Mus musculus: one gene and its partner. The protein of the gene in region 2 binds, or shares a complex with, the protein of the main gene of each other region. Links are inferred from orthologs where the notes say so. Each region holds a gene or a part of one and is shown on either strand. Other genes may lie near its edges.

Evidence for each region.
Region 1: the proteins of Skp1 (region 2) and Fbxl3 are in contact, whole or in part, in a crystal structure (PDB 4I6J), measured with the Homo sapiens proteins. The link is inferred for Mus musculus from reciprocal best matches to the Homo sapiens genes SKP1 and FBXL3. Residues at the interface, in NP_733779.1 of Homo sapiens: Gln97, Leu100, Phe101, Ile104, Leu105, Asn108, Leu116, Asp117, Cys120, Lys121, Val123, Ala124, Ile127, Lys128, Gly129, Lys130, Pro132, Ile135, Arg136, Phe139, Ile141, Lys142, Asn143, Asp144, Phe145, Thr146, Glu149, Glu150, Val153, Arg154; in NP_036290.1 of Homo sapiens: Asp35, Trp36, Gly37, Leu39, Leu40, Ile43, Gln46, Val47, Tyr50, Leu51, Leu53, Leu54, Asp55, Ala57, His58, Ala59, Ser60, Gln61, Val62, Cys63, Arg64, Trp66, Asn67, Phe70, Glu82, Lys92, Ala93, Thr94, His95, Glu97.

What each region holds. Positions count from the first base shown.
Region 1 is NC_000080.6:103,093,033-103,097,074, forward strand, and holds part of Fbxl3 (F-box/LRR-repeat protein 3), read right to left. Parts: intron 2,510-4,042; 5' UTR 2,509-2,509; coding exon 2,161-2,508; intron 1-2,160. UniProt on the Homo sapiens protein: Substrate-recognition component of the SCF(FBXL3) E3 ubiquitin ligase complex involved in circadian rhythm function. Plays a key role in the maintenance of both the speed and the robustness of the circadian clock oscillation.
Region 2 is NC_000077.6:52,244,266-52,248,031, forward strand, and holds the end of Skp1 (S-phase kinase-associated protein 1), read left to right. Parts: intron 1-715; coding exon 716-856; intron 857-1,719; coding exon 1,720-1,755; 3' UTR 1,756-2,593; downstream 2,594-3,766. UniProt on the Homo sapiens protein: Essential component of the SCF (SKP1-CUL1-F-box protein) ubiquitin ligase complex, which mediates the ubiquitination of proteins involved in cell cycle progression, signal transduction and transcription.

The DNA.
Region 1 (4,042 bases), on a different chromosome or scaffold from region 2:
TGTCGTACCAACTGTCGTTCTCAAAATGAAGTTCCTAGACCGCACGAAAACCATCCAAGTACTGAAGCCATTGGAATTCTTATGCTTAGCCCACATGGCTAAGAAACTTTGTGAGTGGGACTGAGCACGGTTTGCCTTTAGACTCCCCTTGGTGAGTCTACTGAACAGCGTGAAAAGCACCGTTTTAGACTAATTAATCTGATTCTAAGTTTTTCCAGCCTATAGTGACCACTTAAATATTAAGGATAATCCCTGCGACATGTCTGCTTTCTAAACTAGAAATTACTTCCTCACACAAATAAATCTGTAACAAGAAATGTTAAACTTAAGCACAACTGGTTTTATGAGCTCCATCTGTTGGATACACCTGACTTGTGTCATAGACTTATAAAGGAACACCCAGGACCGAGATGACCTGCATTCATATGCAGGAATGCTCTTTACAATCTCCTTTCTATAGCATTTGCCATTACAGTTTTCTAAGGCAACTCAAAGATGACCGAAAGCAAAGGGAAAGCAATTCAGGTTTCCTCCCTGGAGGAGGGGAAGCAGTCCCTCCACACTTGTCTGCTTGAATCCTACCCCTTATCAAACAATAATGCACCCTACTGGAGTTTCAGGTAAACAATAACTTGTATCAGTAAGTCTGTCTGGGACACATCTACACTGATCGGCATCAGTGAAGTCAAAATTAACTAGGCATCTTTGTTTGCCTCTTGAAACAGCGTCCTTCCTGTTAAATACTCACTCTGTAGCCCAGGCTGCTCTTAACAGGCAGTGTCCTGATAACTCTTTTCTCTTTGGCTATGATTAGCAATCCTATGCCTGATAACCCAGTACCTTTATGACCACAATCCACTCAGCCATATCTATTACCAAGCTCTCCTATCTTAGAGGAAGACAGCATAGGGAGGGCACGAAGCTTTAGGTGAGGAGCACTGCTTAGACAGGTTTTATGCTGGCCCCTTCAGCAAACAGGAAATAGAGGCAAACGAGGCAATTCCTGTCCTTTTACAACAGCTTTTTGGTTTTTATGCTCAACATTTTTAAGAGAAGGCCTTAAATTGTTGATTCTCTCTCACCTCAGACTCCCAAGTCATAGAGCTACATGAGTGACTCACCAGGCCTAGCCCAGTTTAATCATTTAACAATAACTATCATTTAGAAATCATATTAGAAAAAAATTAACGTTAAGGATTCAGCAAGCATCCCATTTTTCTTTCTTCATCTCCAAAATACAATGTGCTGAACCTTTGTTCTCACATAGGTACTGTGATTAACACTATTCAAACCTCAAGAGGCTACCTTCCTTCACCCACCTCATCACTCTGTGAGTCTTACGTGTCCCTTGTAACACTGAAATGAAGCAAACAGCTCTCTTGCATTTTTCCATGAATCCTCTTTTGTTTCCTTCTAAAATACACTCGAACTATTTAGTCTCTACATCATCTTTAGTGTTTTTGTTGGTTTTTTAAAAATGCATCAAAGCCAGCAACACTCACTGGTCGTGGTGGCAGCTCACTCCCTTAATCCCAGCACTTGGGAGGCAGAGGCAGGAAATTAAGTTTGAGGCCAGCCTGGTCTACAGAGTGGAGTTCCAGGGCAGCCAAAACTATGCAGAAAAACCCTATCTCAAACCACCACCACCAAAACAAACAAATAAAACAACACCCCCAAACAAAACCAAACCGTCCTAATGCAGTAGTTCTCAACCTTCCTAAGGTATAATTCCTCATGTTGTGGTGACCCCCAACCATAAAATTATTCCATTGTTACTTCATAAAGTAATTGACACCATCACCACCACCCCTCCAAGGAGTCCCGCGCAGCAGGTGGAAACTCACTGCCCTAACGTTTGTGATATATTTCTCTTCCCTCAAATTTGCTGCCAACCATTCACCATTAATTTAAAACTTCAGTCACTTATTTAGACTCACTTAGTGGCTGCTTTTGCTCTTTTAAGAAATTAAAGGACTATTTTAGCTTTAGCAAATATAAAAAAATATTTGTAAAGAACTCTTAAAGGCATGCAATAATTTTAAAACTTTAAGCACTTTCCCTGAAAAGTTCACTATTCTAAGGACATCAGAAGCTCAACTGGCTGTGACAGTAACGGCAGTGAGGCGCTTTACTCGTTAACAGAAGGATGGAAGGGGTTACCTTGAAGCTGACATACTGTAGGTGGTTTGAGTGCCTTTTGATAATCTGTTTGATCAGCTCTGGGTGTGTGGCTTTCAAGTAAGATGTCGCTGGCTGATTCAGTTCAAATTCAAAACATCGCCACAAGTCAGGCATGTGAAATACCTGATTCCAATTCCGGCACACTTGGGAAGCATGAGCCCGGTCAAGAAGAGGCAAATACTTAAAAACATGGAGGACGATGTCCTGCAGGAGGTTACCCCAGTCACAAGGCTGCGAGCGCTCCTGTGTCGTCCTCGGTCTCTTGGGCTTCTCGGCAGTGCCTTCCTCAGCAGAGTCCTGGTCACTATCTCTTCCTCCTCGTTTCATCCTATTCAAGACAATCCATCATTTCCCATCCTACTTAACTTTTGATCAAATTCATCTTCTGTTACTGAAATGTGTTTGGATTTGGACAGAAATACGCATGAAAACCTGGCCCAACAATTCAAGGAGAATATAAAAATGCAATGAAACCTGCCGGTGGAGATGAAACTCCTGAAGTGATTTTAAACAGCTACATTTAAAACTACTTATAACTTAGGTAAACCATGAATTTATAACTCAAAACTTGTAGTCAACTCTAAAGGAGAACTACAGTGATAAAATCCAATTTTCTGTCAAATTTAAGGTACACCAAGGTCCGCATGAACCTCTAAACTCTTAAGTGGTCAACAGAGCTGCACTGAACAGCCTGTGAACAGCCTGCTACACATACCCCACCTCTGCTTGGTGGACGTAAATCTGGACTGAGAGTACAGCCCAATGGTAAAGCCCCTGCCTTAAGTACTCCCGCCCAAGCTCGACCTGCAGCTGCATGAAGTAGATGAGTAGTTACAGCAGTCTGCCTGACTAAGCTAAGCTTTGTCTCAGCTAGGATATGGTTTCTTCTCCCAACACATAACTGTCACTGTTTTTCCTGTCCATTTTCTGTATGTTTCCGCCATGGTTTTTCTATGTATTCTTACCCCCTTCATGCCATGAGATGTTCACGACAAACGGTACCATCAGCTCGAAGACCAAGCTCTCTCGAGGTTTGAATACTAGCTACACTTCAAAATAGCTCCATGGCTTTGGGAAATTACAAGACTGTCAGTACAAGACTGTCAGATGCTTCAGTTTGCAAAATGGTGATCTTTTGATACAGGGTTCTTGACATCTCAGCCCAGTATGGAAGCCATCACAAAGAAGTGACTGTCCCCAGAATGGGAAGAGCAATTTAATTTTTCTTTCAAAAAAGGGGAGGGAGCAGTGGTGTAGAGAAATGCCCTGGCAAGAGCATCACTAGCTTAGGGTAACAGCTGAAAATGCGCAGTGGGGCGGCACAAGCTCCAGCTATGTTCCCCAATATGCTCTTTTTCTTTCTACATTGTATACAGCTATTTCATGTAATCAGAGTTCCAAAGGACACATCTTCATTTGTTACTTTATTTACACTGCACTCTAGTCTAACCTGGACCATTCCTTGGTACTAGTATTTAGTCTAGGATCTACCATGATTTTTAGAGAGCAATTCTAGTAAGGCGCTGGTCCAAACAAGACTCAAAAGGATGGCTTGACTCCAACCAACTTGTGACAAATCATGTCGCAAGAATCGGGTTCCTCCGTGGTATGAAGGATATGCGTCTGTACAGACTTTCTCATCCAGAGGCTGGCAGAGAAGGGCTGAGGGCTGGAGAAAACAAACAGGATGGCAGAGAGCACAACCCTACATCGTCAGTCCAGGAGGCCTTGAAAAAGGAACTGTCTCCTTTGTTGTTCCTGCATCTGACTGTATGCACACACACAAAAGGGCATAGTCTCCAGGAAAAGCAGAATTCAGAAAACAAAATAACAGATGACAAGATGGCTTTATGGAACATTC
Region 2 (3,766 bases):
CATATAAATTCTTGTCAGGATAGACTAAGTTCTGGGCCATACAAGTCCCAGATGTAAAAGTATTCAAGTTATACAAAGTATGTTCTCTGACTTCAGTGGTAGAAGCATGAAAAATGTTTGAAGCTGGGTGCAGTGGTGCATACCTTTAATATAGAATATAGGGGCAGAGCTCTGAGTTTGAGACCAGCCTGATCTACATAGCATGTTTTAAGATACTCAGGGCTACGCGCAGTGAGGCCTTGTCTCAAAATAAAGTAAAACCTGGGGAAAAATTGTGAATATTTGAAAATTCAGTAATTTATTTTTAAGCCAAAGGAAAATTTTACATTAGTATTTCTAATTGAATTTAAATAAAACAACTTAAAATTTAGGATAAAGCTAAAGCAGTGTATAAGAAGAAAGCTAGTGCCGGGCAGTGGTGCCGCACACCTGCCTTTAATCCCAGCACTGGGGAGGCAGACGCAGGTGGATTTCTGAGTTCGAGGACGGCCAGGGCTACACAGAGAAACCCTGTCTTGAAACAACAACAAAAAACCCAAAAACCAAAGAAGAAAGCTAGTGAAAGGTGAAACTACATTGAAAATAATCAGTATTACAGGGCAGAGAATTTCATAAGAGTTCATTAAACGGGGTATCATTTTAAGCTCAATTTGATGTAAATTGTTAACCTTAAATATTCAGTACATATGACTAAAAAACCTGCTATTAATTACAGGCTGCAAACTACTTAGACATCAAAGGTTTGCTTGATGTCACATGCAAGACTGTGGCCAATATGATTAAGGGGAAAACTCCTGAGGAGATTCGTAAAACCTTCAATATCAAAAATGACTTTACTGAAGAGGAAGAGGCCCAGGTAGGTAGCACACAACCCATCTTCAATTGCTTTTTAAAAAGAAACTGGAACCCAATACCAAGACAAGAAAAAAAGCCCATCAGAAAGTCTTGGTCTTGTGCTGCTTACCCGAGAACACCTTTAAAATTTCCTTGATACCAGTGGGGCGTGGTGGCAAATGCCCTTTATCTCCCAGTACTTGGGAAGCTGAGGTAGATTGTGAGTTCCAGGGCTACATAGAGAAACCTGTCTTAGAGAACAAAAGAACTAATAACAACAAAAGTCTTGATACAAAGGCATAATGTGCATCTGTCTCTGGATCTAAGCAGTTAGGTGAGAGAGTTCTTGAAGACTTTAATTTTAATTCATGAGTATGATCATGGTGCCCAGAAGAGAGCATCAGATTTCTTGAAGTTGGAGCTACAGGTGGTTGTGAGCTGTGGGTGGGGGTGGGATAGGAATTATGTCCTCCAGGATAACAGTTTTAACCTGAGTTATGTTCAGCTTGCTACTGTTCTTTTAGAAACATAAGAAAAATGGATTTTGAACTAAAGAGGTTCTTCATTATCAGATTCTTTTTTTTTTTAAACCTGTGATATTTGTATAGGTTGTAAACTGTTGGCTTTAGAAATCAGGGCCTGATAATAGAAGAGTGGATGAGTTGGGTGTGCTTGCCAGCTTAGAAAGTGGGACTAGAGCTTTCAGTTGACATCTGCTGTTCAATGTTAGAAAGTTAGTCATCAGGTCTGCTTTTACTTAGCCTAATATTTTCCCAGCTTTCCATTTTCCTTTCTCATATGACATAGGCTATTGATGATACAGTATAGGTAGTGCTTAGCCATCTCAGGAAAGACAACTCAAGGTATACCTTCTGTCTCTTCTAGGTACGCAAAGAGAACCAATGGTGTGAAGAGAAGTGAACTGCTGTGCCTGTCACTGTAACACTAGAAGGGTTGTTCCAAATGCTAGTTGCACTGCTCTGTTTATAATTGTTAATATTAGAGATCAGTAGACAAACATCGCCTTGTCTTCACTGCATGTGTAGTTCCAGTCCAGATCAGACCTGTGGCTGAGTTTCTTCTGTGAGCAGAAGTTTCCTTTTCCCCCCATTACTCTGAATAAAACCGAACTATGGGTTCTCTGCGGAAAGTGGCATTTTGGGCTTTCCCTTTCTGTAAAGTGATTTCTGCCTCTAGTTCATTGTCCAGTTAACTTCAGTGAGCCTTTCAAAGTTGACATTGTAAATAAAACAACTTAAGAAAAGTATGCTGAAATAGAATTAACAAAACATGATACTTGTTCATGAATCGGAAACTGGAATAGGGCAGCTTGAAGTTAACCATGTGGGTGTCTTCCAACCTCTATGCTGCTGGTAAGCTTGAGTGCAGCTGGGCTCTCTTAATTGGATCTGAGGCCTTGTTTTTTCTTTTTTTTTTTCTTTTTTTTTTTTTTAATCTTCTCAGCTTTGAATATGTTGCCTAGAGATTTAGTTTACTACCCAGTTTGTGGTTTTGGAGTGGGAACTGTAACTCAACAATTTGTTAGCTTTTCAATTAAAAAAGACACTTACTTCATGTGGTATGTCATCTTTTTATCATCATTGTTCCCAGGTGGAGAAACACTACTTGCATGTAAAAATTAATTTAACCTTTTAACATTAAAGTGTATGGTAAAACTCAGAAAACAGCCATCCTAAGTGCAAGATGCTTTTCAATAAAAAGTAGTACAATAGGTAGTAAACAGTTGCTTTTGTGGATGTAAATGTGTTTCTTAATGAATTAAGGTTTTTTTTTTTTAAAGATTTGTTTATTATACATAAGAACACTGTAGCTATCTTCAGACACACCAGAAGAAGGCATCAGGTCTCATTACAGATGGTTGTGAGCAACTATGTGGTTGCTGGGATTTGCACTCATGATCTCTTACCCTCTGAGCCATCTAGCCAGCCCATTTGGTTATTTTTTAATTGTAGAGAATCTTGCTGAATGGTTGTAGATAGTACCCACATCTTTTTTAATCCCAGCACTTGTAAGGTCAGCCTGGTTTACAAAGGAAATTCTAGAAAGCCCAGGCTACAAAGAGAAACCCTGTCTTCAAAAGCAAAAGAAAAAAAAATTCAAGTGGGTTTTTTTTGTTGTTTTTTGTTTTTTTGAGGGGGTGGAGGGTGGGGGTTTGAGACAGGGTTTCTCTGTGTAGCCCTGGCTGTCCTGGAACTCACTCTGGACCAGGCTGGCCTCGAACTCAGAAATCCGCCTGCCTCTGCCTCCCGAGTGCTGGAAGTAAAGGCGTGCGCCACCATACCCGGTGATTTGGTTTTTTGAGGCAGGGTTACTCTGTAGACCAGGCTGGCCTCAAACTGCCTGGCCAGTGATTAGTTCTTAAGACGTAACTGCTCAGCCACTATTTTTAGCTTCCTTTATGGTAGATTTTCCCCTTTATTTTGTAATGCTGGACATTGAACACTAAGAGCTTTGCACACATTAAGTGCTCTCCCTCTGAGCCCCATTGCTAGACACTGCCTTTTCCTACTGAGGCTCCCATTTATTTTGTGTTTTTGCTAGCTAATGATAATCCCGTTACTTTACATTCTCGTTACAGTTGCTGTGAAGCATGCTGGCCTAGATTATCACTTTACACAGCAACTTGGCTCTTCCCTAGCAAAGCCTTAAATGTTGCCTTTTAATCCCCACTTTCTTTATTCTCAGATTAGGTTTAACTATGTATGTCTAGGCTGGCATTGACTCGGGGTAGGGTCCTCTTGCCTCATCTTTGAGAGCATTGGGAATTTGAGATGCACACCACCATTTTTTGTTCCCATTTATTTTCAATACATAGATAAAATAACATACCTGTCATCTTGTTCTAGTCTGGTTCTGCCATCTTTGTAAGATGGTCTTTACATTTGAATTTGAAACCTTTGTTAAAATATTA